Nothobranchius furzeri: one gene and its partners. The protein of the gene in region 2 interacts with the protein of the main gene of each other region in a biochemical or structural test. Links are inferred from orthologs where the notes say so. Each region holds a gene or a part of one and is shown on either strand. Other genes may lie near its edges. The genes, in order: microtubule-associated serine/threonine-protein kinase 1, rps6ka1, Na(+)/H(+) exchange regulatory cofactor NHE-RF2, sntb1, arhgef11, erbin and magi3a.

Evidence for each region.
Region 1: the proteins of rps6ka1 (region 2) and microtubule-associated serine/threonine-protein kinase 1 interact in a test that uses a peptide from one of them, tested with the Homo sapiens proteins (2 studies listed by BioGRID and IntAct, with this or other methods). The link is inferred for Nothobranchius furzeri from reciprocal best matches to the Homo sapiens genes RPS6KA1 and MAST1.
Region 3: the proteins of rps6ka1 (region 2) and Na(+)/H(+) exchange regulatory cofactor NHE-RF2 interact in a test that uses a peptide from one of them, tested with the Homo sapiens proteins (2 studies listed by BioGRID and IntAct). The link is inferred for Nothobranchius furzeri from reciprocal best matches to the Homo sapiens genes RPS6KA1 and NHERF2.
Region 4: the proteins of rps6ka1 (region 2) and sntb1 interact in a test that uses a peptide from one of them, tested with the Homo sapiens proteins (2 studies listed by BioGRID and IntAct, with this or other methods). The link is inferred for Nothobranchius furzeri from reciprocal best matches to the Homo sapiens genes RPS6KA1 and SNTB1.
Region 5: the proteins of rps6ka1 (region 2) and arhgef11 interact in a test that uses a peptide from one of them, tested with the Homo sapiens proteins (2 studies listed by BioGRID and IntAct). The link is inferred for Nothobranchius furzeri from reciprocal best matches to the Homo sapiens genes RPS6KA1 and ARHGEF11.
Region 6: the proteins of rps6ka1 (region 2) and erbin interact in a test that uses a peptide from one of them, tested with the Homo sapiens proteins (2 studies listed by BioGRID and IntAct). The link is inferred for Nothobranchius furzeri from reciprocal best matches to the Homo sapiens genes RPS6KA1 and ERBIN.
Region 7: the proteins of rps6ka1 (region 2) and magi3a interact in a test that uses a peptide from one of them, tested with the Homo sapiens proteins (2 studies listed by BioGRID and IntAct). The link is inferred for Nothobranchius furzeri from reciprocal best matches to the Homo sapiens genes RPS6KA1 and MAGI3.

What each region holds. Positions count from the first base shown.
Region 1 is NC_091752.1:70,159,192-70,163,174, forward strand, and holds the start of microtubule-associated serine/threonine-protein kinase 1, read right to left. Parts: upstream 2,801-3,983; 5' UTR 2,064-2,800; coding exon 2,025-2,063; intron 1-2,024. UniProt on the Homo sapiens protein: Microtubule-associated protein essential for correct brain development. Appears to link the dystrophin/utrophin network with microtubule filaments via the syntrophins. Phosphorylation of DMD or UTRN may modulate their affinities for associated proteins.
Region 2 is NC_091758.1:28,116,427-28,120,668, reverse strand, and holds the end of rps6ka1 (ribosomal protein S6 kinase alpha-1), read left to right. Parts: intron 1-2,082; coding exon 2,083-2,205; 3' UTR 2,206-2,224; exon of another isoform or gene 2,225-2,350; intron 2,351-3,341; 3' UTR 3,342-3,742; downstream 3,743-4,242. UniProt on the Homo sapiens protein: Serine/threonine-protein kinase that acts downstream of ERK (MAPK1/ERK2 and MAPK3/ERK1) signaling and mediates mitogenic and stress-induced activation of the transcription factors CREB1, ETV1/ER81 and NR4A1/NUR77, regulates translation through RPS6 and EIF4B phosphorylation, and mediates cellular proliferation, survival, and differentiation by modulating mTOR signaling and repressing pro-apoptotic function of BAD and DAPK1.
Region 3 is NC_091752.1:53,773,839-53,777,878, reverse strand, and holds the start of Na(+)/H(+) exchange regulatory cofactor NHE-RF2, read left to right. Parts: upstream 1-1,240; 5' UTR 1,241-1,663; coding exon 1,664-1,888; intron 1,889-4,040.
Region 4 is NC_091745.1:41,784,301-41,788,432, forward strand, and holds the start of sntb1 (beta-1-syntrophin), read right to left. Parts: upstream 2,801-4,132; 5' UTR 2,656-2,800; coding exon 2,130-2,655; intron 1-2,129. UniProt on the Homo sapiens protein: Adapter protein that binds to and probably organizes the subcellular localization of a variety of membrane proteins. May link various receptors to the actin cytoskeleton and the dystrophin glycoprotein complex.
Region 5 is NC_091754.1:62,118,656-62,122,155, forward strand, and holds part of arhgef11 (rho guanine nucleotide exchange factor 11), read left to right. Parts: coding exon 1-50; intron 51-1,565; coding exon 1,566-1,659; intron 1,660-1,825; coding exon 1,826-1,855; intron 1,856-3,500. UniProt on the Homo sapiens protein: May play a role in the regulation of RhoA GTPase by guanine nucleotide-binding alpha-12 (GNA12) and alpha-13 (GNA13). Acts as guanine nucleotide exchange factor (GEF) for RhoA GTPase and may act as GTPase-activating protein (GAP) for GNA12 and GNA13.
Region 6 is NC_091746.1:65,237,735-65,241,234, forward strand, and holds part of erbin (erbin), read right to left. Parts: intron 2,872-3,500; coding exon 2,799-2,871; intron 1,516-2,798; coding exon 1,386-1,515; intron 1,300-1,385; coding exon 1,184-1,299; intron 1-1,183. UniProt on the Homo sapiens protein: Acts as an adapter for the receptor ERBB2, in epithelia. By binding the unphosphorylated 'Tyr-1248' of receptor ERBB2, it may contribute to stabilize this unphosphorylated state.
Region 7 is NC_091755.1:38,365,285-38,368,784, forward strand, and holds part of magi3a (membrane-associated guanylate kinase, WW and PDZ domain-containing protein 3a), read right to left. Parts: intron 2,786-3,500; coding exon 2,171-2,785; intron 1-2,170.

The DNA of each region.
Region 1 (3,983 bases), on a different chromosome or scaffold from region 2:
ATCGCGAGTAATACGATATCGCAATATTAAGCACTGTTATCGAATATCGCAGGTTTTCCTAATATCGTGCAGCCCTACTTTGAATTGTGAAAAATACTTGTGGATGGATGCACCCCAGTTCCCAGAACAGTCGTCTTAGCGCACCAACCTAGCTTGAATGCTAAGTAAATTGTCATGGTCTGTGTCTGCGTCTCCCCTCTTGTGTCTCCTTGTGCCCTCCATTTGTCTCTAGATTCCCCTTTTGTGTCTCATAGCGCCCTCGTGTGTCCTTTGTCTGCGTCTCATTTATGTTTCTTCTGTTTGTTGCCCTTCTGATCATTCCCCTCAGGTCCGGCGTTCATTCAGTCGTCCCCAGCCCCTCCAGTTGTAGCTCTAGCCTCTTTATTCCCCAGCATAGTGTGTGTATGTGTGTGTGTGAGTGCATGTGTGTGTGTTAGTGTGTGTGTGTGCGCGTGTCCACTCCCCAGCTCAGTGTTTGTGTGTGTGAGTGTATGTGTGTTATTGTGTGTGTGTGAGTCCTTTATCAGTCTTTAGGTTTAGTTTTAGGGTTATCTGCCCTCCTCTGGTTCTGTTCCCATTTAGCTTATTGTAGTCACCTGCTCTCCCTCCAGCCCTCACTCCACACACCTGCTGCTTGTTTCCTTTATTGCTCCTTCCTGTCTATATAAGCCCTGTCTTGTCTCTGTGTTGTGTCTGTCCATTGTGTGGTGCTCTAAGAGAGCTTTTGGTGTCCTGTGTTCCAGGACTTTTGGAATTTTGGCTCGCTGCCTTTTTGGATTTACTTTTGTTTGTTTCATCCTGCAATAAAAGGATAATTTACTTTACTTCATCTCCTGCCTCTTGTCGTCTGAGTAATCTGCACTTTGGGTCCTACCATCCCCTCAACGTGACATAAATCTGCATTGAATTAAATGGTAACTGGCCTGCATTTGATGTAGCAACTTTTAGAGTCATAGAACCCCCCAAGGTGCTTCACAACACACCCCTCCCACCCACCCACACACACACACTGGTGGTGATAAACTACATTGTGGCCACAGCTGCCCTGGAACATACTGACAGAAGCCAGGCTGCTGTACACAGGAGCCACCGGTCCCTCCGACCACCAGCGGCAAGCCGGAGGGTGAAATGTCTTGCTCATGGACACAATGACAGCGACAGACTGAGCGGGATTGAACCTGCAGTTTTAAAGTAAGACATTTTGCCAAAAGGGACTCGAATATAAGTCTTGCCTAAAGTGTAGCCTAAAGTAGTGTAACTAGTGTACTTGTAGTGTCACATATTTGAGACAGTAGTAACAGTTTTCCCCCTTAGAGACAGGGTGAGTTAGCTCAGCCATCCGGGAGGGGCTCGGAGTAGATCCGCTGCTCCTCCACATCGAGAGGAGCCAGCTGAGGTGGCTTGGGCATCTGGTTAGGATGCCCCCCTGGTGAGGTTTTCCAGGCACGTCCAACCAGGAGGAGACCTAAAGGAAGACCCAGGACACGCTGGAGGGACTATGTCTCTCTGCTGGCCAGGGAACGCCTTTGGATTTCCCCAGAGAAGCTGGCCTAAGTGGCTGGGGCGAGGGACGTCTGGGCCTCTCGGCTTAGGCTACTGCCTCCGTAACCCGACTCCGGATAAGCGGAAGAAAATGGATGGATGGTTGGTTGGTTACAGTTTTAAACTATAAGGGGTTTTGCCCAACACTGATAATGGTTGACTTGGTCTATAGCAATTACCTGATGTGGCGGCCATCTTGAATTGGGTTAGGAACCAGGCAAAAATATTATAGTCAGCCTTTTGCCTTGGAATAAAATTTAAAACAGGCATAATGAGTCAGGTTTGTTTTTCTAACCCAAAATTTGGTTCATTTAGCAAAAATAAAGTTTCACTTGACTTAAAGGTCAAAAACTAAGTGAAGACAGCAAAATGTGGTGATGACTGTGCAGTAGATGGATGCCAATATGAAGTCACGCAGCTAAAATGTGCCTTTGTTTACCAATCAGCATGCAGAGAAGAGGTCACGTTAGAGAACATCTCACCTGCAGCCTCCTGCGCCTTATTATCCCAGAGTCCTCCATGGTGTGGTCTCCTACTGGGGGCTCCCTCCCACCAGAACAACCATTTGACCGTTAGTTCGTGTCTGAGCTCGGCGCGACCAGAACTGCAGAACAACAACAGCAGCCAAAGAGTCGCGCGCACTCAGGAGGAGATCGGAGTCACGTCGAGGTGCTCCACATAAACGTCAAACGTTCCCACGCCTGAAGGCTTCCAGCAGCTTCTCTAGCGACCTGCTCCTCCTCTGCTGACACTCCTCTGTGAGCTCCAGCATCCCTCCCGGAGCAGCCTTCGCGTTCAGACGGAGGTCCGCGCGCCTCGCTCGGTCCAGCTGAGCAACCCGAGGCCTGCACGCGCCAGCGCCACTCAGTGCGCGAGGCGAGCAGACGCTTTCAGCCGCTGCTGATCACAAAGGGACGCGCGGCGGCGGGGGAGCGGCTCAGCTCCTCCTCCCTTCCACAAACACCTCCAACAGTTGTTTTGATGCAGCTGCAGCAGCGATGTTTCTGAGCTTGGCTGGGATTCCCTCTCGCTCCTCCTCCTCCTCCTCCTCCTGCAGCCCTGATTCTCCTCATCTGAGCGGAGTAAAAACGTCATCCAGCCCCCTCCCTGCTGCAACACCCTACTCCTCCACTGGATCTGCAGAGAGCGAGGACACGTGGTGTATTAATATCCTGAGAGCTTCTGTCGTGTTGACTCGTTCAGTAGTGGATCAACACGCCACTGATCATCTCATCAGTAACCGAGCAGCTAGCAGCAAGTTTCATTCATTCATTCATTCATTTAAACCTTTTATAGTTCAGAATAAAAATCTGGTCCTGATCAAGTGAGCAGCTTTAAGCACTAAAACTAAACAATGAAGTCGTTAGCCTCAAGAGAAAACTGATCATCAGTGTCCCACGTTTAAAAAATGCAAATGTGGCAGTTTAATGGTTAAAGGTGCTCGTGAGTTTATCACATTTATGTCTTTGAACAGAAGAAAAACATAACTTTAATTTTAAAAAATGCTGTTTAATTAGTGTGCTATGACTTTTGGTAGCAACCATGGACGTAATTTTTTTTGGGGGGGGGGGACAGGGGGGACATGTCCCCCCCACTTTTTCCAAAGTCAAGTTTTGACCCCTGCACTTTTTACCATCCAAAAACAATATTACGCTATATTAAATTGACACTAGTTGAGCTCTAGGACCAAGCAGAAAACAACCGTTTGTGTTGAAGCCGGTTTCCCATTAGCACATACTGTAAAGATACCCCCCCCCCCCCCCCGTGTCCCCCCCCCACTTCTAAAGTGAAAATTACGTCCTTGGTAGCAACACATTCTAAAGTGTGGGCAGAAGGGACAGAAAATGACATTTATTATTATTATTATTATTATTATTATTATTATTATTATCATCATCATCATCATCATCATTAATAATATTAATAATAAATATTATGAAATTAATAATACTAATAATAACAATAGATTTGATTTTAAAGTGCCTTACTTGACACCCAGGGACACGTTACAGTCATGGGAAAAATTAAACAAGATTACAAATTACAAAAATATATAAAAACACTGAGATGTAAAAAATTAAAACTATGTGGTAAACGCTTGTCTGAAGAGGTGGGTTTTGAGTTTTGATTAAAAAGTTGGAGGGAGGGAGTGGTGCAAAGATCAGGGGGAAGAGGATTCCAGAGGTGGGGAGCAGAGCGGCTGAATGCTCCACTCCCCATGGTGACGAGGCGAGTGCGGGGAGCCGAGAGATGAGGAGCAGAAGAGGAGCGAAGTGAGCGAACAGGAGTGGTGATGTGAATGAGAATGGATATGTAGTATGGAGTCAGGTTATGAAGAGCTTTGAAAGTGATGAGCAGAATTTTAAATTCTCTGTTTAATGGGGAGCCAGTGCAGCGTAGCGGGATGGAGGTGATGTGATGAGAGGATGGAGTCCTAATGA
Region 2 (4,242 bases):
TTAAAAATCGGTTTTTGCAGTGTGGAAATCTCAATTTCTAATTTTTTTTGTCATATTTATTGTGGCCACAGGAGGGCATAATGCCATTTAAATGTGTTCCTTTTGTGCTAATTTGTTTGTTTTTCCAAACTTTGCTCATAAGTCAGCCTAAACAATGAAGAAAAATGAAATACTTTCTTTAATAAAACACTGGTTAATTTAATATTATTATTACTTTTACTATTTATTTTAATCATCAGTATTACCACTCCACACACCGTCAGTGGGTGGCCTTGTCACATTAGAGTCCTAAACTGTTGCTTATATAAAGTCAACCACCAACACCCACATATATACCCAGCTGTTCACAAAAGTGACCACTAAGCATGTGAGCAATAACACGGGACGAGTTACATTTTTTAACATTTCAATTTAATTCAAATGGTTCCGGCAACATTAGGGATGCACGATATATTGGCATCAATCGGTATTGGCCGATGTTAGTCCTGTTTTAACATACAAGTATCAGTCTGATATGCAAAACTGGGCCGCAATCAGCAACCAATATTTTTTCCATCTCGTTTTCGTGTGTGTGTGTGTGTGTGTGTGTGTGTGTGTGTGTGTGTGTGTGTGTGTGTGTGTGTGTGTGTGTGTGTGTGTGTGTGTGTGTGTGTGTGTGTGTGTGTGTGTGTGTGTGTGTGTGTGTGTGTGTGTGTGTGTGTGTGTGTGTGTGTGTGTGTGTGTATGTAAAACCTTAGTTAAAATGGATTGGATGGAGAGTAAGTGATGCCACTAGTTCCCATAAATTACCTCAGTCCTCTAAAACACTACAGATCAGTAGAGCTCCTTCAGTTTTGATCAGAACTCTGGAATAAGAAGTGTGGCTCATCAATGGGTTAATAGTTATTTAGACAATAGGAAACAGTTTGTTCAAATAAATGATGCCAGATCTGAATTGAAAGATATTCATTATGGAGTGCCACAAGGGTCGGTCCTCGGACCTAAACTGTTCATATTGTTTATTAATGACCTTATAAATATATCTCATCTACTTGGTCCAGTTTTATTCAGGATTAAATATACATGAAGTAACTCAAGTAATAAACAGTGAACTGATTAAAGTAAAAAAAATGGTTTCATATAAATAGACGGTCATTGAACCTGAACAAAACAAACTATACTGTTTAACAACAAAAGAAACTGTGATGTATCTTTAACGATAGATGGAATGGAAATTCAAAGAGTAAAAGAAACCAAATTTCTTGGAGTCATGTTTGATGAGTGTCTCACTTGGAAATCACATAAGTTATATAAAGGGGAAAGTTGCCAAAGCCATAGCGGTATTATATAGAGTCACATTTCTGCTAAATTGGTCTGTGTTATTAATGTTGTATCACTCGCTGATTGAAACATATTTAATTTATTGTCTGGATATTTGGGGAGCCACATGCAAAACTTTTACTCAACCTTTGTTTATTTTACAAAAAAGAGCATTGAGGATCATTAATAACAGTAACTACAGAGATCACTCAAATTCATTATTCATTAGATATTAAATACTGAAATTTCCTGACTTGGTAGAGTGGAAAATATTGCAAATAATGTACAGAGCGAATACGAGTAATTTACCAACTAATATTCAGAAAATGTTTCATAGGAGAGTAAGTGGGTACATATTAAAAGGGACTGATGTCTTTAAAAAAACTAAATTCAGAACCAAAATGAAGGAATGTGATATTTCTGTAAATGGTGTAAGATTGTGGAATGCCCTTAACAGAGATATTAAAGATTCAAACTCACTTGCTATATTCAAAAAATGCATAAAATCAAATGTATTAAGCAATTGTGAAAAGGTAAATTAAAATGTCAATGATTATATATATAAAAAGTAGAAAGGGACTGAGGCTGTATTGTGTGTTTTACAGATAATTTTCTTTTGTAAAAAGGGGCAGAAATGATAAGATTTTTCTTCTATCTGCTCCTTTTCATTCAAATGTTTTTTTTTCATTATGTTTATGTATTGCATTTGCTTGTGTTTATTTCATAAATTTTGAATGAAATAGAGTAAAAAAAAAACAACCTCTTGTTATTGTTTACATTCAGGGTGCGATGGCCGCCACCTACTCCGCCCTGAAGAACTCCCAACCCCCTCCAGAGCTCAAGCCCATCGAGAGCTCCTTCCTCGCCCAGAGGCGTGTCAAGAAGCTGCCGTCCACCTCCCTGTAGAGACTCAACAGCTGATCAGGTCACCGGGGGCTCACCAGCACCACGCGGCTTTGCTTTGGGACGTTGCGTCCAGCCTCCAAATGAAAAGAATATATGTATAAAAAAAAAAGATTTAAAAAACAGCCAAGGAACACAAACAGTGGTCCTGCACTTGCTATCTGTGTGTGGGCCGATGTGATCCGAGCAGCAAGACGAGGGGGGAGGGGGGATGTCTTACTGCCGTGTGGATGAGCGACATGTGAGCGAGTGATTGCATGAACCTGCAACTGTTTTTGATGGTGACATGAACGTTTTCTCTCTGGATCGTTGCTGTAGTTGATCCTCGCTGCACGCTTGTCCGTCTGCCTGTTCCGTTGTCCGTCTGTCTGATTTTCTTTTTTTTGTTTGTTTTTTTTGGGGGGGTTTTTGCAGAGTTGATGAGCTTTATGTTTCTAAATGCGCTGCCAAATCAATCTGCACTCACACACACACACACACACACACACACACACACACACACACACACACACACACACACACACTCACACACACACACACACACACACACACACACAAACTGTTCAGCTGCTGTTCAATGTTTTTCAAAGAGCATAATTTCATAAAAATATAAAACCTCTTTCCACAAACGCCTTGTTGGTTTTGGTACAACCAAACCAGATGAGGTGGATTCTGGGGAGGAAGAAAAATACACGAGTATTTGCTTTTACAGTGCGATTGTGTGCGAGTGTGTGAGTTTGTGTGTGTCAGTTGCATGACTTGCAGTTTATGTTTGTTGTCTTGCGGGATGCTGCAGAGCCGTGCATGGTCTGGTGACGTAATGATGTCATGTGGCTTCCTCGTTTTTTCTGCTCTCCCTTTTCTCAGCTTCGTAAATCTGTTTGCAAACATTTGAAATGTTGACTATTTTTATGACTACAAAACTAGTAAAGTAGGTGGCTTTCCGTGAAAGAAAACCTGCCCGAGGAACAATGTGGCATGTTGCAGTTTGCTAAATGACTTTTTTTTCTGAAAGATGTATTTTCAAGGCTGTTTCTTGTGTTTTCAGCTTTTGTTGTTTGGTTTTTCATCTCAAGAAAGTGGGGATTTAAAATGGTAAAAGACACGCTGAGCTGATCTGTGGACTTGTTGCCTTGCAGGTCTCTTCTTCTTCCCTCATTGTGGAATTTCCCTTTTTATGCAATTCCTGAGTTTGGAATTCACCTTTTTTTTTTCTACACTCGACGGACCTTGATTTTGAGATGTTCTGAAGAAGTGTGTCTCAAACCGATTCCCACAGATGGGTAGGTCCTGCTTTCAGCTCGGTGCCTACATGTGAGGAAGCATGTCTGGAGTAGAAAACGGGATTGAGAATGAAAGAAGGAAGGACCTGTAAGGCTGAATAATCTGTTAGCCAGCTTTCTTACCTCTAAAGGGATCAAAGTTCTGATATATTTCTTGTTTGGTGGTCTTTTGACTGATGGTATTATGGTAAGATGTTATTGTATGATAAAGATGAAGATTTTTATATCTTATGATATTAAAGATTGAGTTGCTATGATCAAGTGTCCTGTTGTTTTCTTATTCCTATAAAAGAAAAAGCTCATAATTCACCTAGAACAGGCTAAATCCCTTTAGCGGCACTTAGTGTGGACATTTTGGTGTCGCTGCAGGCAAATCCGAAGAGAAGTGGATGTTTAAACTTTCTTTTCTGCTCAGTTTATTGTCCCTCAGATTAAAAAAAATCTGATTTTTGCAATCGTGCACAAAGAGACAGGAAACAATGATACAAATAAATCATCAGTTTTATTTTATTCAAATTTTTCATAATTTTGCGACTATTTTTAATCGTTTAATCACATCAGTTCTCTTTTTTATATTTACTACGCTGAAAATCCTCAGATGAATAATCAATAAATTGTAAAGCAGTTTGCTTTACAAAATTAATGTTTTCCTAATGTCTCCATAAAGAAACACTAGAGGGAGACAAAGTGCAAATGTCTGTATGCTCAAACTCAGGCTCTTATGTTTGTAAATCCAGGATCCTGTTAGGACATCTTT
Region 3 (4,040 bases), on a different chromosome or scaffold from region 2:
TTGGAGAAACACAGACCACAGGTGTGAATGGAGAATGTTTATCTGTACTGATGAGGATTTTATATTTTCATCTGAATTTTCATGTAAAGTAAAAATTTCTGCAGTTTCAAAGTTCAAATGGTGTTTAAAAGCCTTTAGATGAACTGCTAGAACAATGATGAGATCTGAGTTGTTTTAATACAATAGAAACCCACTTTTAATTTACCCTCCTGGAACTAATCAGTAACTTATTTGCCTAGACACAATCAAATTTTACTATTCTCTGTTTACCTGCCTGCCATTCTAACCAAACTACAACCTTCACCAGAGCTGGGGAGTAAGCAGCTCCAGTCAAAAGATCTCTGCCAGATACTGGGAGATCTTGATGGATCAGCCGAAGTTCCCCAGTCATACTGCTGTCACCTCCCTCAGACCAGACGCTGTTCTTGTGTCTGAGGCCAGTAAGCAAGTTTTGCTGTTGGACTTAACAATTCCCCGGGAAGAGCCCTGGAGAAAGCTCTCCAAGTATGGAGTGGACTGGTTGGAGAGTGAGAGTGAGGTGCTTCCCAGTGGAAGCTGGATGCAGGGGTTAGATCCCTGCTTGATCACTGAGTTGCCTTGGCGTAGAGGATAAGCATGAGACACGAGCCATCAGCAGCACCACCACTGAAGCAGTCGAGTCGAGGCAGTGGAGGACGAACCACTGATGTAGATTGTTCTTAATATTTTTCAGAGTTCCAATTTAAAAGATCTGAAGGATCATTTTGGTGATTTCAAAATCATCTTTCCTGCTTTCAAACTTGTAAATATGAAGTTTAGTAATTATTGTAACTTTGGAAATCATAATTACAAGATCAAAGTCATAACTATGACTAAAAATAACACCATAATTACAACCTTGACAGTTATTAAAAATTATATTTATGACTTTAAAAGTCAGATTTCTAAGACAAAAGGTTGCAAATGTGATTAAAAGTTATAAATCTGAGATGTTACCATAACTGTACCCTAATCGAGCCAATATACGTTTCCCGTTATTGTGAGATGTATCATTTTGAAGTTAAAAGTCACCACATTGCCTGATATTAGGCACCAACAATGAAATAGACAGGAAATATTTTAAAGAACTTTTTTTTTAAATTTATTTAAAAGTTGATCATTTATCATAACTAACCCTGATCACTGACTGTTTCCTGCCGCCGGGGGGCATCAGTGCATCACTTACACTTTCTATTTGTTTCTCTTCCAGAGGAAGGTGGTGCTGTTGCTCACCAGCCGCTCATCGTGCGCAAAGATCGGCGCTGAAGCTGCAGAAGGATGTGCTCTCCGGACGAATGTTTTGGATAAACGCAGGGAGTTTGACCAGTAACCATTTTCACTTTTACAGTCTGCAGAGCGCACCGGTCCGAAGGTTCTGGAGCCCCCGGTGGTTTGGGTCCGTTTTGGAGCAGCGTGCCTCAGAGCCGGACACACGGTCCAGTTGACTGGAGTTCGTAGCTTTTAGGGAATTTAAACTTTTCCGTTGTTGGATCTGGAGTTGTGTTTGTGATGTGAGGGCGCGCACGAGGCCAGTCGGGATGCACGCTGGAAGTTTAGCCCCGCACCCGTTGTCCTGAACTCCCACCTCTTCTTTTCGCGCATTTTCACCGCATTTTTACTCTACTCGGGTCTGCAGGAAGGTTCGATGCGAGAAGAAGAGCAAATGGCCAACGAGCGGAAACCGCGGCTGTGTGTGATGAATAAAGGGGAGAACGGGTATGGCTTTCACCTGCACGGAGAGAAGGGGAAGAGCGGACAGTTCATCCGCCAAGTGGAGCCCAACTCCCCCGCAGAGGCGTCGGGGCTGCGCGCCGGGGACCGGGTGGTCGCCGTGAACGGCGTCAACGTGGAGAAGGAGACACACCACCAGGCGAGTGGATGTGTGCTTTCATATTTATGATTAGAGTCGAGTTACATGTCTGCCTGCGAGGGTGCATCAACAGGTCACACACACACACACACACACACACACACACACACACACACACACACACACACACACACACACACACACACACACACACACACACACACAAAGTGCGCAAAACCCGCCCCCGCCACACTAATCTAATCTGTCGCATTGAATTTACAGACTTTCAGCATATTGGCATATTGTTGAGGCTGATAAACACTCAGACGCTTCAGCTGCAGACTTTGTTCTGTCTGAGCCCAAAATGATCTGCAACTATCAAATATCTCTGCCCCAAACCAAGTTAAACTGTCTTATCTGTCAGGTCACAGAGCAGCAGGAGGTTTTTACTTTTGTTTCATCACTCTTCTGATGGGTAATGGTTCTTATAGATTTGCATTTATCTGTGTAATTCATTTTAAATTCAGTTGAGTTAAAAATCTGATTCAGTTTTCGACTTCATTCCTCTCATCCACTAACTGTCATTGAGGCCTGACCTCAAATGTTGTGTTTTCTCACAACTATGGTGGTCTGATGGTGGGAAACAGTAACAGATGAGAGAGAGAGGGGGGTGGGGCGTGGGGGTCAACTATTTAATCCACTAAATTTTGGCATATGATTGGACAAACCTTTGATTGGTTTGATATAATTTTTCTCCACAAGCATATACTCAACATGAGTTTATGCACGTTTGTTTTTTGTTGGAATTTGGGACACTGATTTTGTTTTAGAGTGCCGAAACCGATTTCTGACTCTTGTAACAGCTCAGACTTGCTGATGCTGGTTTGGCCCATTCAGATTCATCTAACTAACATTAAAGAGACAATGTGTAGTTTTACCATTAATTTCTGGAAACATCCATCAAAATGTAGTTGAAAATGAATGAAATGAAGCCCAGTTGTTGAACAATATTGGCAGCGTCGTAACATCTAACCATAAAAATCTGGTCTAAAATAAATGGGAGCGGGTCTAAGTCTCTGGGCGACGCCATATTAGATGCTATGTTTCCTTCTACGGGTGCCCATGAGGACAAAATGCATCTACTGATTTGTAACAAACCGTTACAAAACTTTTGTCATTGTTAAATATGTTGTTTTACACGTTTACCTCTTCAATTGTTGCCAGTGATGAAAGAGAGTCTGATGTGCTTATTTTGCTAAAGTTTGCACTCCCCAGGGCTTTTAGACCCTAATGGGCTTCCGTTGGTAAGGTCTTATTCCAACACAAAAATACAGCTTTCTTACAACGATTTAGGTATCTACTGCCCCCTATGGCCAGAAAAAATACACACTGTCACTTTAAAGCGTTCATTCCGGAGCTAAAACCTTGCACATGTAACATCAGTTACTAACATCGATGAGCAGTTGTCTGGTGAGTTCACAGACCAGGAAAAATGTCAGATGTTTTATTGTTGACGCCGCTTACAGATCAATATAAAAAAATCAGAATTCCGAGTTTCTGATCACCAGACAATCTAGCTCCTCTCTTAATTATTTTTTCGTCTAAACTGTTGTGTTTTAGCCTGTTGTTGCTATACCCATGAACATCTTTAGTCTATTATTTTAAATCCTCCCAGATTCATGAGCTAATGGCTGGGACTATTTAAACCAAAACGTTTCACTGCCAACTTAAAACACCTTTAATCTCCCAAATCTCACAACAACAGCTAATGTGAACGTTTATTTAGAAACCTTTACATCACTGTTAGTGGTTACGTCAGCTGGAACTGTCTGACTCCTGCTGGATTTGAGCCCTAAAAGCACCATAAAGAGCTGAAGTTTGATCATGTTGCAGGTTTGTTTTGTCACCTCATACTTAAACAAGGGCCTGACAGCTGGGACATTTAAAACAACAACCATAATCTAGTTCTTACATTGTTAAAGGTGCAGCATGTAAGAATATAGTGAGAATTTTACAGTGAGAAAATCCCAAAAGAGTTTAATGTTTCTGTCATTTTAGAAGGAAGGTTATAGTGAAATATATTAGCTGGATGCTGGGATTGTCAGTTTTTCTCCTCTCAAAACAAAGGAAGGAGGGACTACTGTTTACCATCAGTGAGTGTGGGGTTGCCGTGTCTCCTGCGAGTAATACTGCAGCGCTACAATTGTAATGT
Region 4 (4,132 bases), on a different chromosome or scaffold from region 2:
CAAAAATGTTAAACGAGTTCATTCATGTTTGTTTCATGCCATGGTGGATTCCCCATTAGTTGTTTTGGCTGAAATATGAGGAACTTCCTGCTGTACTTGACTCCCAGATGCACCAGAAGTGCTGCATGCAGCTGCTGTTCACACTTGTAATAACATCCATGTAAATACCAATGGGATGCATGTCAGTGCTTTAATGTTTATAATATAATGTTGCATGAACCCATGTGGAAATACAGAGATGTTTGTTTAAACATTGTATTAATACACTTTTTTGTTCATAAGAACTGCGTGGTGGCGCAGTTGTTAGCATTGTTGCCTCGTAGCAAGAAGGTTGCAGGTTCGAAACTCGGCTGTGGCCTTTCTGCGTGGAGTTGCGTGTTCTCCCCATGCATGCGTGGGTTTCCTCCGGGTACTCCGTTTTCCCCCACGGATCACAACATGCCCTGTAAGTTATAAATTGTGTGTCGCTTTGGATGAAAGCGTCTGCCAAATAAATAAACATAAACCGCCCAGCCAAATAAAAAAGTCACCACCCAAAAAGAAAAATGGCCTGTATTTGATATAGCGCCTTCTAGAGTCCTAGAACCCCCCAAGGCACTTTACAACATAATCAGTCATTCTTTCATTGAATCCCACATTCACACGCTGCTGGGGATGAGCTACAATGTAGCCACAGCTGCCCTGGCGTGCAATGACAGATTACGACACGCATTCGCTGTGGCGCTGTTTCGATAAGCTTCTGCAACATCACCAGTTGTTTTGATCCAGGGTTGAACTAATGTCTCACCAACATCTTGCACTGATGATGGTAGTCTGACTGCTGCACAAAGCCTTCTGCAGCACATCCCAAAAATTCTCAATGGGGTTAAGGTCTGGACTCTGTGGTGGCCGATCCATGTGTGAAAATGACGTCTCATGCTCCCTGAACCGCTCTTGAGCCCGATGAATCCTGGCATTGTCGTCTTGGAATATGCCCGTGCCATCAGGGAAGATGGAATAACCTGGTCATTCCGCATATTCAGGTAGTCAGCTGACTTCGTTCTTGGAGCACATCCTGTTGCGGAGTCTAGACCTGACCACCTGCAGCAAGCCCAGATCATAGCACTGCCCCCGCAGGCTTGTAGAGTAGGCACTAGGCATGATGGGTGCATCACTTCATCTGCCTCTCTTCTTACCCTGATGCACCATCACTCTGGAACAGGGCCCATCTGGACTCATCAGACCAGTTTTTAATAAAGTGTTGGACAGTTCAGATTGAGTTTTTTTTGCATCTCATTAGATGTCATCTCTGCTTGACGCCAACGACCCGACCCTTCCCACACAGACTAACATCTTTTCCACAACCACCAGTTGTGTCTTTCCACTTGTTTGTTTAACGAATGAGAAGTGACTCATTGCACCATTTGAGGTTAAAACACTTTTTGACATGCAGTAATTAATAATAGGAGGACCCTACCTGTTTGCTTAGTTAAATCCAGGTGGTGACTTGTTTTTGGCCCAGGCAGTGTAGTAGCTCATCAGTTATTTCTCCAAACAGAATGTTCAGGAAGTCACAAGTTATCGAACTCTTTAAGGCAAATGGAAGAACAAGATCCAAGTTGGATCTCAAAAGATTCCTATTATTTATCTAATAAAATCCCACCTGCTATTTTCTGCCAGTAAGTTTTTATCTGCAACAGAAAAAATGTCTGGAACCAAAAGCTGAGCTCTTCTTCAACTTCATTTGAAGAGACAAACGAATTAATCAGCTGCCTTTTATCTACAGGAGAAAACACGGTTCATTTTCAGGCTTTCGATCTTGTCCTGCTGCCTTGTTTTCCTTCATTAAGGTGATTTTTTTTAACCACAGCAATAATCATGAAGGCAAAACAACAAAACCTGGTTTTGCGTCTCCTGAAGTTGCACCAAGCATCCCAACACGCAGAGGCTGAGGTGTCCAGGAGTCCTGCAGCTAATCAGGGACATCTGAATTAAATGATCACAGCAACAATTCTCAGAAATAAATACGCGAAACCCACGCACACCTGTTGGCTTCGGTTTACGAGCGTTTGTATGATATAAAAACAGTTTGGACTTCCGGGGCTCTGGTCACCTTCCCTCTACGTGCATGTGTCCCAACTGCTGCCTACCTTCCAGTGTCACCTCCTTCCCCGCACGTTTCAGCACCTGCACCGCCTCATCGTGCGTGGCGTCCCGCAGGTTCATCCCGTTCACTGACAGGATCGCGTCCCCCACGTACAGAGCCTGGGTCTGGTCCGCTGCGAGCCCCTTGAATATCTTACTGATGAGAATGGGCATCTTGTTCTCCTTCCCTCCTTTAATGCTGATGCCGAGCCCTCCGACTTCCTGCTTGGTCACCTTGACGCAGCGCTTTCTGTTGGCGATCGCCTCGGGCACTCGCTCCGGGAGGTCCGTGAAAGCGGTGCGCACAGCTTGGGGGCCATTGTTGGAGTTGGTGTTGCTGTTATCCAGGTACGATCCGTTGGTGAGCCCGTTTGAGTTGACATTCTCGCCATCCTCGCAGCTCAGCGTCAGCGCCTCCTCGCTCAAGTTTACCAAAACTTTGTGCCAGTGCTCCCGCACCAAAACCTCCACTAATCCACTTCTGTGCGCCCCGGAGCCTCTCGAGACGCCTGCGGCTGCTACCACCGCCATCTTTGGAGCATTTCTGTAAAATCACACGCGTTCTCTCTCACACAAACACACACGCGTTCCGGCTCAAGCTGCATGGACTTTGCTCGTCAGAAGTTTTCTGCGGGACTCGATCAGCCAGCGCAGGCTGGCCCCCGCTCCGCTCCGCCTGCCCGGAGGTCCTAAAGCTGCTGGGTGGAGTTTTCCTCTCCACGCTTACAACCGACCAGCCCATGAACCAAAAAGAAAAAAATGGGCATTTGCATCAGACATAACTTTCTGAGCTATGACGCAAGCACGTGCTAAAGTCATAAAAACAAAACCGTATGCAGCTCTGATAATTTTTCAGAACAGAATGAAACGGTTTCACGCTTTTGTCATTAGCATTAATGTTATTAAATAAAATCAATACACCGTTTCAGTCATGGGGTTCGAGTGTTTTTGTGCGTAATTTGGACAAAATTCAAGGAAATAAAACTGTACCTTCAACATCTTTTGAAAAACTTTGAAATCATAACTAGTTGTCCTGTAGGACTGCGCTTACGTCGTGCTTACGCGCACTCAGGAATGCAATTGAGGGGAGAGAACGCGGTTTAATTTTAGGCTTTCATTTAAAGGCCCACCCTCTGCGGAGTTTCTCCGCATCTCTAATGATTATTTTTTTATTTTTCCAGCTGTTCCCAGCGGTTATGTCAGCCCAAGACCCCGAGGGCGCAGTCCGAGTCTTACTGGTTCTGTAGATCAGAGAGAAAATAAGAGAAACAAATAGAAGCAAATGTAGAAACGACAAACAAACAAGGTGGAGGAAGAGGGGAACGGTTCTCCATCATCTCCAAACAGCAGCTGTCAATTAGGCTAATTAAAACATCTGCAAACTTCCACTGGTACTGATCTAAACCGGCGCGACAGCGACACCTACTGGTGATGTTTGTTTTAACAGTCATCTATCTATCTATCTATCTATCTATCATCTATCTATCTATCTATCTATCTATCTATCTATCTATCTATCTATCTATCTATCTATCTATCTATCTATCTATCTATCTATCTATCTATCTATCTATCTATCTATCTATCATCAGGTGACGTTGAACAGTAAATCAAAAACATTTGATCTTTAAAATAATCTGCTTTTTATGTCCTTACTGGTTTTTCACAGATTAAATTATTTAAATAATGAATACTGAATAAAGCAGCAGATGCAAACCCAGAGCAGAGACCATGACGACAGACCCCACCCGCGCCTTCTCCTTCAGGCAGAGGATTGAGCGGCCTCCAAGACTGTTTTAGGCCCTCAAAGCTGAATGGATAAACTGGCTGTAACGTATAGCTATTTTATTTTTTATCTTTCTTTGAGTGTGTCCTATTCAATAACTTTGAACAACTCCTAATAAAACACAGGAAGTGTTGTTTCACCGTGAGCTACTTACAATTACTGAGTTGTGCAAAAGACATGTTTTGTCTTGATGAGGAGCAGGAGAGTTATTTTTACTTTAAT
Region 5 (3,500 bases), on a different chromosome or scaffold from region 2:
GTCCCAGCACCGAGAAGGAGAAGTGGCTCCCTTTCCTAAAACCTAAAAAGGTGAGAAGGGAAACTGGAGAACGTGTTTTCAGATCAGTTTAGTCTCGGAAACGAGCGTTTTCTCTTTTAACCTGTTAGTATGATTAAATATTTCCCTTTTTGTAGCTTTTTTAAATGACCCAGCTCGTTGGGCCATAACAAAAAATGATGTAAGAGTTAATCAAATGTAATTCATTCAACCAAAAAACCATAATCAACCTGTAAAAACGCTGTTACAGTGGGGAGGTGCAAACTAAAGGTTGGTTTATGCTTGACGCGTCCGCGAGGTTCGCACGGCTCCGCGCGGAAAAGTTGCGTCATTTTAACAACCACGCCCCTCCAACGCGCCTCCGCACGGCCCAGAATTTCCGCAACGCGCACCTCGGAAAATTTCTAACCACGCGGACGGTCGGACGCAGAAAAACATGGCGGACCGGCAAGAACTAGTATGGCAGAGGTTGGTAAATACAGACATTTGTATGATTCAGCTCTCAGAGATCACGGTGATCAACATGTTGTTAATAATTCTTGGAGAGAAATAGCTCGCACTGTCGGAAAAGACGAGGACGCTGTTAAAAATGCTGAAATGCCATGTTGTAAACAACAGTCATTTTTACTTCTACTATGGTGTAGTGTTGGATGCATGCCGTAGAGCTCCATGCTGCCCCCTACAGTTTGGGAGAATATTGGCTCACCGCAGAGACGAGCCGCATGAACCATAAACGCTGCAAGTTGTGAAGCGCGTTCCAGCCGCGAGCCGCATCACCGCGCGGAAAGTGAATGCGTCAAGCATAAACCAAGCTTAAATGTGGCAGCATACCTGTGGAGGAGCAGAGAGGAGGCTCAGGCTGCTGCAGCAGTCCCTCAGGTGTTGGAGGAAGAGCGTTCGGATTGGCCACAAAACATGGCACACTTTGAGTTTAAAAGGTTTTTAACTTCTCAGGAAGCTTCTCTGAACACGTCTGGGTGGTTCCTGGGGGGGTAGATCACCTAGATCTCCACAGTCTCCTGGTTTTTGTTTCCCAAGCACACAGTGCTGAACACTCAGCACACTTTCACTTCAGAACCTCAACCTTTATTTAGTTGGTTTGAACAAAAAGATGGTGAAGGTCACGGCAGGAACTGCGTTTATGGCGAGCGTTCAGTAAAGCGCTCCGTTAGGCTGTAATGTGTTTATGAGCCAAAAACAAAGATCATCTTAGTAAATCTGGCTTTCTAAAGTCAGCACGACCAGGCTTCCCTCAGCTAACCCAAAGACTAGGTGGGTTTGTCGTGTGAGCTGCTTTTATTTGATGTTTCAAGCAAAAACATTCACAACCTGTGTATTCATGCTGATAACGGCGAGGAGCTGCAGTCTCCACCTAAACACTAACAGGCCCAGACCAATTTGAGCTTCCTCCTTCATAATTACGCCCAATTAAAATGTTATCGATCATTTAATATAGTTGCATTTAGTTATTAGGTCAGTTTGTTTCTGATCAACCAGCCAGTGTGTATTAAACCTGGGATTGTTTGACTTTTCCTTCGTCTCCACAGCTGAGCAGCAACAAGAAGGACAAGGATGGAGACGATCGAAGGAAGAATCCCATCCTGAAGTATATAGTGAAGCCCTGGGCCACGTCTCAGTCCAGTAAAATACACACACACCAATCTGAGCGGGAAATCAAAAACCTGCTTTTAAGGACTTGTGATGTAACCACTATGACATCACTGTTCTGTTTGGTTTCAATATTTTAACATTTTTTTATTTTTGTTGAGTTTTTTCATTCCTGGTTTGTTTCTGTTTGGTTTTGTAGCGTTCCACGTCCCGTTGTCGCCCTCAGAAGGTACATGTTTGTCTGCTCTTTCATGTTTTTTGGGGCCGCTCAGAGGAAATAATTAATTGTTCAGTTTTAAGATTAAAGTGGAAACATCAATAAAAACGTCACACTGACAAAATTAACACACAAAACTCATAGTTCAGTATAAAATTTTTCAGAATTAAGTGAAAATGTTGAGAAAAATATTTATTTTTATTTTCTCAAATCTATGAAAAAATGCATTTTTTTTCCTTCTGAGTTGCCCTAAAGCCTTCATTTTTTCCTTGAGTTAAACTTTTATCCTTTAACAAACATTCATAACATCAAGTTATTTAACTCATTCCCTGCCAGCGTTTTCACTGTTTTTTTAAGAGTCACAGAACGTTGCGTGCTAGGATGATGTCAATGCCAAAACTACCAAAACAAAGAAGAGACTCACGTCTTACATCAGGAAGAGTCCGCGTGTTTCGAGCGTTATCCGTTCTTTCATAATCCGTTGTTGAATTGTGATCGGCGGAAGCTTTTCCAGTTCGTGCCTCACTTTTTTTACAGCAGCGGCCCAAAACGATCTCCTAACACATGGATGTTCTGCTTCCTGATCATGTGACGTACACGGTTGAAGATCGGCTTCAGGGCTGAGATGTTTGTTCTCACGGTGCGGGGGCTCGTCCGACGCCCACACAGTAAAAACATGCCAATGACGACTTTAGTCATTGATTCACTTGGACACTTTCTGACTTCATTCACTCATTCATTCACTTGTTCATTCGTTTGCTCACTCACTCATTCACTCGCTCACTTCATTGATTCTTTTGCTCACTCGTTCATTCGCTCACTCACACACTTCATTGATTCACTCGCTTGCTTACTCGCTTCATTCATTCGCTCACTCACTCACTTCATTCATTCGCTCACTCTCACTCACCTCATTCATTCACTCGCTTCATTCATTCACTCGCTTGCTCACTCACTCACCTCATTCATTCACTTGTCCGTTCATTCACTCAATCATTCACTCACTCAACTCACTCACTCACTCCATCATCTATCTTCTAAACCACATAATCCTGCGTGTCATCGTAGGGACATCAGAGACTATCAGTCATGGAATGGCTAGGGGGTGAAGTCACCGGTTTTCATACAGGTTTAATAATGTCTAATTCGACCTAAAAGGTGAAGCTAACATCAGGTAGACTTACCATTTACAAAGCCTCAGTCACACACAAGACCGGTCACGCTTCAGTCACGTGCAACACCGGTCACGCGCAACGCCGGTCGCCGGTCACGCGCAACACCCGTCAAATGCTTCAGTCACGCGCAACACCGGTTCAGTCACACGCTTCAGTCACACACAACACCGGTCACACGCTTCAGTCACACACAACACCGGTCACACGTTTCAGTCACACACAACACCGGTCACGCACTTCAGTCACACACAACACCGGTCACGCACTTCAGTCACACACAACACCGGTCACACGCTTCAGTCACACACAACACCGGTCACGCACTTCAGTCACACACAACACCGGTCACGCACTTCAGTCACACACAACACCGGTCACACGCTTCAGTCACACACAACACCGGTCACGCACTTCAGTCACACACAACACCGGTCACACGCTTCAGTCACACACAACACCGGTCACACACTTCAGTCACACAC
Region 6 (3,500 bases), on a different chromosome or scaffold from region 2:
GAACCAAGAGGCTGATTCGCCCGTTTGCTTTAACAGCAGAAAGGAATTGATCGTAATAACTAATCAGACTTGACAGCACAACTTCTGCTCGTTCAAAACAAACCACTGGTAAAAAGTGTAGGTGTTTGTTGTTGGGAGTGTTTTTGTGGGAATAAACATTCAGGAGAACCAGAAAAATGTCCAAATCGTAGCTTTGGACTTCCTCCTTGCATTAGAGTAATAGCTTTTAACTCATTCACTGCCAACGACAGGTGTTTACTGTGTGGGCATCGGAACGAGCCCCCGCACCGTAAGAACAAACATCTCAGCTCTAAAGCCGATCTTCATCCGCGTACGTCACATGCCACGTGATCAGGAAGCAGAAAATCCACGTGTTAGGAGATCGTTTTGGGTCGCTGCTGTAAAAAAAGTGAGGCGCGAACCGGAAAAGCTTCTGCCGATCACAATTCTACAATGGATTATGAAAGAACGGATAAAGCTCGAAACGTGCTGATTCTTCCTGATGTAAGAGGTGAGTCTTTGCTTTGTTTTGTGAGTTTTGGCTTTGACATCATCCTAGCGTGCAACGTTCTGTCACTCTTAAAAAAAACAACAAACGCTGAAAAACGCTGGCAGCGAACGGCTTTTCTGCTCAGGAAACGGCTGGCAGTGAATGAGTTAATGGTGCAATGGTATGATGTCATTTCCTGTCATCTCTATAAATTTTATTGTACATTGTGAATATTCCACTGAAGCTTTTTGTGAAGACAATCATGAATTGAATTGAAATTGCCATTTCTGACCCCAAAATCGGGTATTCGGTTTCTCGTTCAGCCCTTCGCTGCTGTGGACTAAATGCTTTAGCACATCTGGCATTTCTGATGCTGGCAAAGCAGGCTTCGACTTTTCAAACCAAAATATTACATTTCTTGTCAGGATGTAATCTTTTAATCTGGATTTTATAATTAAACTTCAGATTCTTCCAACCTGCTCACTAACCCCTTTTAATAGTTTATACAGTCAAGCATCACTGGCAAAGCTCCTAGAGGGGCTTTGAGAACAGCTACTGTAAAACATCTCAGGTTATCCAATCTGCTGATTAGTCATGTAGTGAAAATATCTTTAAACTTTCTAAACGTCATCCTTGCATTAATTGTTTTTTAGTATCTAAGGTGCCCTTTAACCCCAGTGAGGCCCGACTCACTTGTTGTTGCTCAGATTGATAACTTTCAGCCTCTGCATGTCTCCCATCTCCTCAGGCAGAGTCTCCAGCTTGTTGGAATGCAGAAACAGCACGGTGGCATTCTTCCACTTACCCAGCTGTGAGGGAAACACACGGAGGACTGTTGAGTCACGAGATGCAGCAACGGCCGAGTAGACTGACAAACGCTGATATACAGGCTCACCTCCGGGGGAAGCTGGGTGAGGAAGTTGTGATCTGCAGCAAAAGTACGAATGCCGGTGCACTGACCGATGGAGGACGGCAAGGCTTCGATTTCATTGAAGCTGAAGTCCAGCTCTTCGATTGACGTCAGTCTGAAAGAGTCAAACAATCAACCTTCTCTTTTTACAATTACACACTAAAAAACACAGCGAACACGATGAATAAACAGAAACTAGGATGTTTTGCTTGTTTATGGCATCCCCTAGTGTCCGTTTGTAGAACCGAAGCCAAAACCCATCTCCTTGCTGTGTGCTTGTCTTTTATACACCTTAATCTAACAGCTGAAGCATCTCCCAGCCTTCATTAGTGTCTACAGGTGTGATTCATCACTAAATTAAACAAATCAGCTGTGTTCACAATCTAAAACATGCAGGAAACGTTCTGGAACCAGAGTGCAGTGCCAGGTATGTCAGCTAAAAGTCCCAACAGAGTGGACCAGTAGTCTGACGATGCAAGTGGAATATTCAGGCCACAGGGTGGCTGGGTGGCCTTCCATTAACCCTGTAAAGGATCATATTTTAGCACGTACTGGCTCGAGAAAAGGATTTTAAAATAAGAAAAGGTTGCAAAATATCCCTTTAATAATGCTCACTCTAATAAAAACTAATACACACAAGCAGTCATGGGTGACTAGATCATCGTGAAGTCACAAAAAGTTATTTTAGGGATGCAGAAATGAGAAGGAATACTGTAAGTGTAGCAGCATCATGATTCCCGTCACACTGAAGGAGGTTTTCACCATTTGATGCAATCAAGCATAAATCTTAACGGTGGTGAGGAGCTCAGCGGGGTCTTAATCCCGGCTGGAGAGGGACTAACAGGTAAAATGGGAATAAACTAGATAAATTACAGGAGAATTACTTTGTCCTGCGATTTCAGAGAACAGGGTTCAACTCCCACAAACCACATAAAACATAAAAATAATAATCAGCTAAAAATAAAAGAGAAAAAAAGAGCTCACTTCGGCTAAAATCATTGCATGGGATTAAGCTAAATCATAGGCTTTGTCGCATAATCTAAGCCAAAGTTCAGAAGGAGATGTATGCTGTGACATAAGTGATAACTGATGCTGTTTGGAAACAAAAGCACCACTCTGCAGTTTTTTTCTCTCATGGGTGAAAATTACAACAGAAATAAAAATCACGATGGATGGATGGATGGTAATCTGTGACTTGAAGCAGCTGGATTTACCTGCCTGCTGTGCACATGATCAGCCTGAGAAAAAGGTTTAGTCTCAGTCCTGAATCTGGGAATCATCTCATCATACCTCACAGGATTAATCCACAGACCTTTTATTTCTTTGACCAGCGGATGCGTAATGACAAACGCACGACAATCCACAGATTTTTAGGAGTTTAGAAGCTCCAACACTCACCCTCCAATGGAGTCTGGTAAATACATCAGCTGGTTTTCATCCACTTTCAGCGTGCTCAGTTTCTTTAAGGAGCCTAGAAACCGGAAAACCAGGAGACCGGATTAGAGAGGACAACAACAACAGCTGCCCAGGCTGGTATTGATCAGTTATTACCGTTTAACCACTAAAGAGAAGGGTCCACTAGAGCAGCTAATTAGGTTCATTAGAACCGACATCGATACAGTAAAACGCCGACTAGTAATCGGTCCTCATATCGACCACAATGAGCGGCAACTCAGCTGATTTTATTATCCTTGTTTTAACTTCTGAATAAGCACATAAAATAAATCTTGAATCGTTTTTCTCCGATGTTCACATAGCTAAAAAAACAAAATAAAACTATGAAAATCTGACCTTTTTACATTTTTTTTAATTCATTTGGTGCAGTCAGGCTTTTAATACAATGTGAGATAATCCAAAAATGATGGGTTGGTATTAACGTAATGATGATGTAATATTGTTTAACATTTTACTCTAAAATCCTCCTTCTAGATTTATTTTGTTTAGCTGATTTTCTTCAGGTACATTCAGTGCATCCCATCGATGTGCGGTTTCCAAAGTTGGGGTCGAGGGGTCCCCACTTAAGGTCACCCAGAGCGACAAAGGGGGCCTCCAGATGATTTCCAGAAATCAAAATAAAGTTGAAAAACAATTGCTGAAGAT
Region 7 (3,500 bases), on a different chromosome or scaffold from region 2:
AAGGGTAAATCAATAGTGACAGAATCTGTTCAATCAGCAGGGGGCAGTAGACTCAAGTATCAGGAATCGTAGGCCTGTGTTACAGGATGGAAGGAGGTAGACCTACAGCCAGGGGAAACGTGTGTTTTAGGTTAAAGTGGACACTTACTTGCTGCAGATACAAATCCTCAAGTTTTAGATTCATGCAAACTTTTGGGTTTACTTTGGTTCTTAGTTTCTCCTCATTTGAATTTCTTACTTATGTTTAAAACAGATGTTGTACCAGGAGCTGTTCTCCAAACGATCCGAACCTTTGACTTGAGCAGCTTCACGTCATCACTCATTACCATCTTACCCAGGTGGGTCTGTTCCTATCAGAGCTGATGAGACGGACGACTAGTCTGAACCTGCCGCGACCAAAACGTGTTGCTGCTGAACTTAAACAAAAGCTAACGTGAAATGATGTCACGAAACTCTGCAAAACTCTTAAGTTTGCAACAAATATATACTTGGGTGAACTAATGTAAAGATTTTGGAGACTTGACCTGTTTTAAGAGCGCTTTGGTCACTTTGGAATATTTATCCAGTCTGATCAGAAAGCAATCTCCAACAGACTAAAGTGTTTTAGAAGTTTGATACAGAAACATGTGTTTATCCTCTAATACGCTTCATCATCCTTCAGTGGCTCCTTTAGCATAGGAAGCATGGCAGCATCCTGAAGAATGAGAATGTCCCTTCCCGAAACAGTAAAAACAGCACAGACACAACTGGTTATTGTGTAATTAAAAATACTAATGAAGACTATTTCATTACTTTAAGATTCAAGGAGCCGTTTACTGGTTTGTTTGAACATTTCCTGCACGTCAAGTTTTATTCAGCCGTTGCAGGTCTGTACTTCAGCACTCATGCACATCTCCACCTCTTCTCCTTAACCTCGAAAAGTCTTACAGTGCTTAAGAAAACAGGTCATTTTTGACTATGTGACTAGTTTTGCTCACATCTCACCAGGTCCTTTCCTCCGCTGGTCTTCACGCCCGTTTTCCTGCTCTCTTCCATTTTCAGCTCATTTTATGTTGTTTGTAGTATTTTATGCTTCGACTAATTTGGATTTCCTGCCGCTGATGTGCCGTTGTTCTACAAGCTAGTTCAAGTTTATAAATTCTCCATCTGCCTGCACATCTGCATTTCAGTTTCTAATCAAACGAGAATGTTGTTGCAAAGAATAGAAATGTTTTCTGGGAGCTACAAACGCTACAGTTACTAAACAGAACACACACACACACACACACACACACACACACACACACACACACACACACACACACACACACACACACACACACACACACACACACACACACACACACACACACACACACACACACACACACACACACACACACACACACACACACACACACACACACACAGATAGATAAGGCCCCCAGAGCGCACAGCAGAACCCGGCTCAGTGCATCTGATGTGTGGGTGCAACGTTGATCTCTTGAATCTAGGCTACTGCACTGCAGCAAAGGCAAAGAAAAAAGAACGAGCCCTTCAAATCTGTGAAAGCACGAAGCAAGAAAGCGAGTGGTGATGATTACCCACCACGCTCCTGCTCTCTCCATGCCTTCCCTTCCCTCCTTCTCTTAAGGCAGTGAGTGAATCAGTAAAACCGTCATCCCCCCCCCCCCCCCCCCCCCCTCTTCTTCCCAGCACTTGTGACTGCACTTTGCTTACTTCCTGTTTTGGGAGGTAGATGATGCAGAGCTGGCATGGACTAGAGCGTGAAATTGCTTTATTTAACAAGGAGTGTGTGTGTGTGTGTGTGTGCATGTATTCAAGCACAATGTGCTGCACACAAACCATCCTGTCATTTATAAATGAAAACATTTACACGATTCCGTCATTCTGACCTCCTCTAGACTCGGCAGATCTTAGACAAAGGGCGAATCATGCTGCTGCCTCACTGCTGAAGAAATTCATTTCAAATACAGACTGGACTGTCAGCCCATTGCTTTGTTGTTGTTGTTGTTTTAAGTGCTGTGCAAGCAACAGGTGATGCAAATCTGTGTGAGGGACACACTTCCACTTCATCTTTAGACTAGAGCCCGTTTGGTGTCAGAATAAAACTCTGGTTGATAAAAAAAAACAAAGTTTGCAGCATGACCCCTCCTTCCCGTGGACTCACCTCCTCTAAGCACCAGCACGTTGACCTCGCTGCCCACCGGCAGGTCTTTGAGGATGTCCACCACCTGGGAGTGGCTCAACGTTTGAACGTTCTGCCGGTTGATCTCCTTGATGACATCGCCCTTCAACAAGCCGCGGCACCACTGCGCATCCAAGATCATCTTCACCTTCTGACCCAGGGGACAGTCGGCAATGGCAAAGCCAAAACCTCCCGGGCCTTTGACCAATGGTACGCTCACCAGCTCCGGCTGCAACAGAGTGGAGTCTGGCCCTTCCTGGTTTAGGGTGAGAGGAAGGTTCTGTTGCTGCAGCTGGGGATGTGGAAGGCGTCCTCCTCCATTAGTCATGGGTGGAACTGAGGCTGTGTGCCGGGACAGGGTTCCTCCATCTGGGACGTTCTGTGGTGTGGAAGTGGACGGAGAAGAGGAGGCATCCTTCGAGGCAATGAGGCTCCCCGACACTTCCTCGCTGCTGCTGGAGTCGTCAGGAAGAGGGTAACCCCGGCACAGGACCAGGTCTACGTATTGGTTGATTGGAATGGACTGGAACATCTGCACCGCATCAGCGTGAGTCTTCCCCAACACACACGCCCTGTTTATGTCCACTATGACATCACCTAAAAGAAGAACAAAGAGCTTTCACAAACACTCCACATAAATGGTTGGGTCTACCAGGATTTGGACCTACAACCACCTGTGGGCTTTACAAAGAATTGTCTGAAAAAGAGAAAATCCCCAGTGAATGAAAACGTCCTCTTCAGGTCAGAAGTCAGGAGAATGTTCAAAGTAGTTTGAGATGCTAGAAAAACAACAGCGGCTCAGACAAGCCCTGGTTCCCGCAGGCGGCGTGGCTGGTGAGGGTGTTTGTGATTAAAACTAGGGGTGCTCCGATTGATCGGCCGCAGATAATTATCGGCCGATTTTCCTGCAAAAGTGTGTGATCTGTGATCGCCGATCGCTGCCTTTCATTTCCGCTCTGGCACTGGCGCTTACTCTTCCCGGCTGGTAGTTCACCCTTCCGCTTCTCCCCGCTTAGTGCGCATGCGCGTGGCGGCAAACCCGCGAAGACAAACAAGTCTGCCGTGCGGAACTTCTTTACGGTGTGCGAGAGTGATATTAAGTTTGCGTCTTGCAACACTTGCAACGAAAACATACCCCGCGGAGGAAGCACTTCAAAAAAATTCAACACGATGAATTTGATCCGACATTTAAAGACTAAACACTTGGCGGAGCACGGTGAGTTTTCGAGGCTCACCGCAGACAATGAAAAGAAGGCTGCTAATGCTAATGCAGCCACAGTCAGACGGCAGCTAACGCAGCCGACGCTTGGAA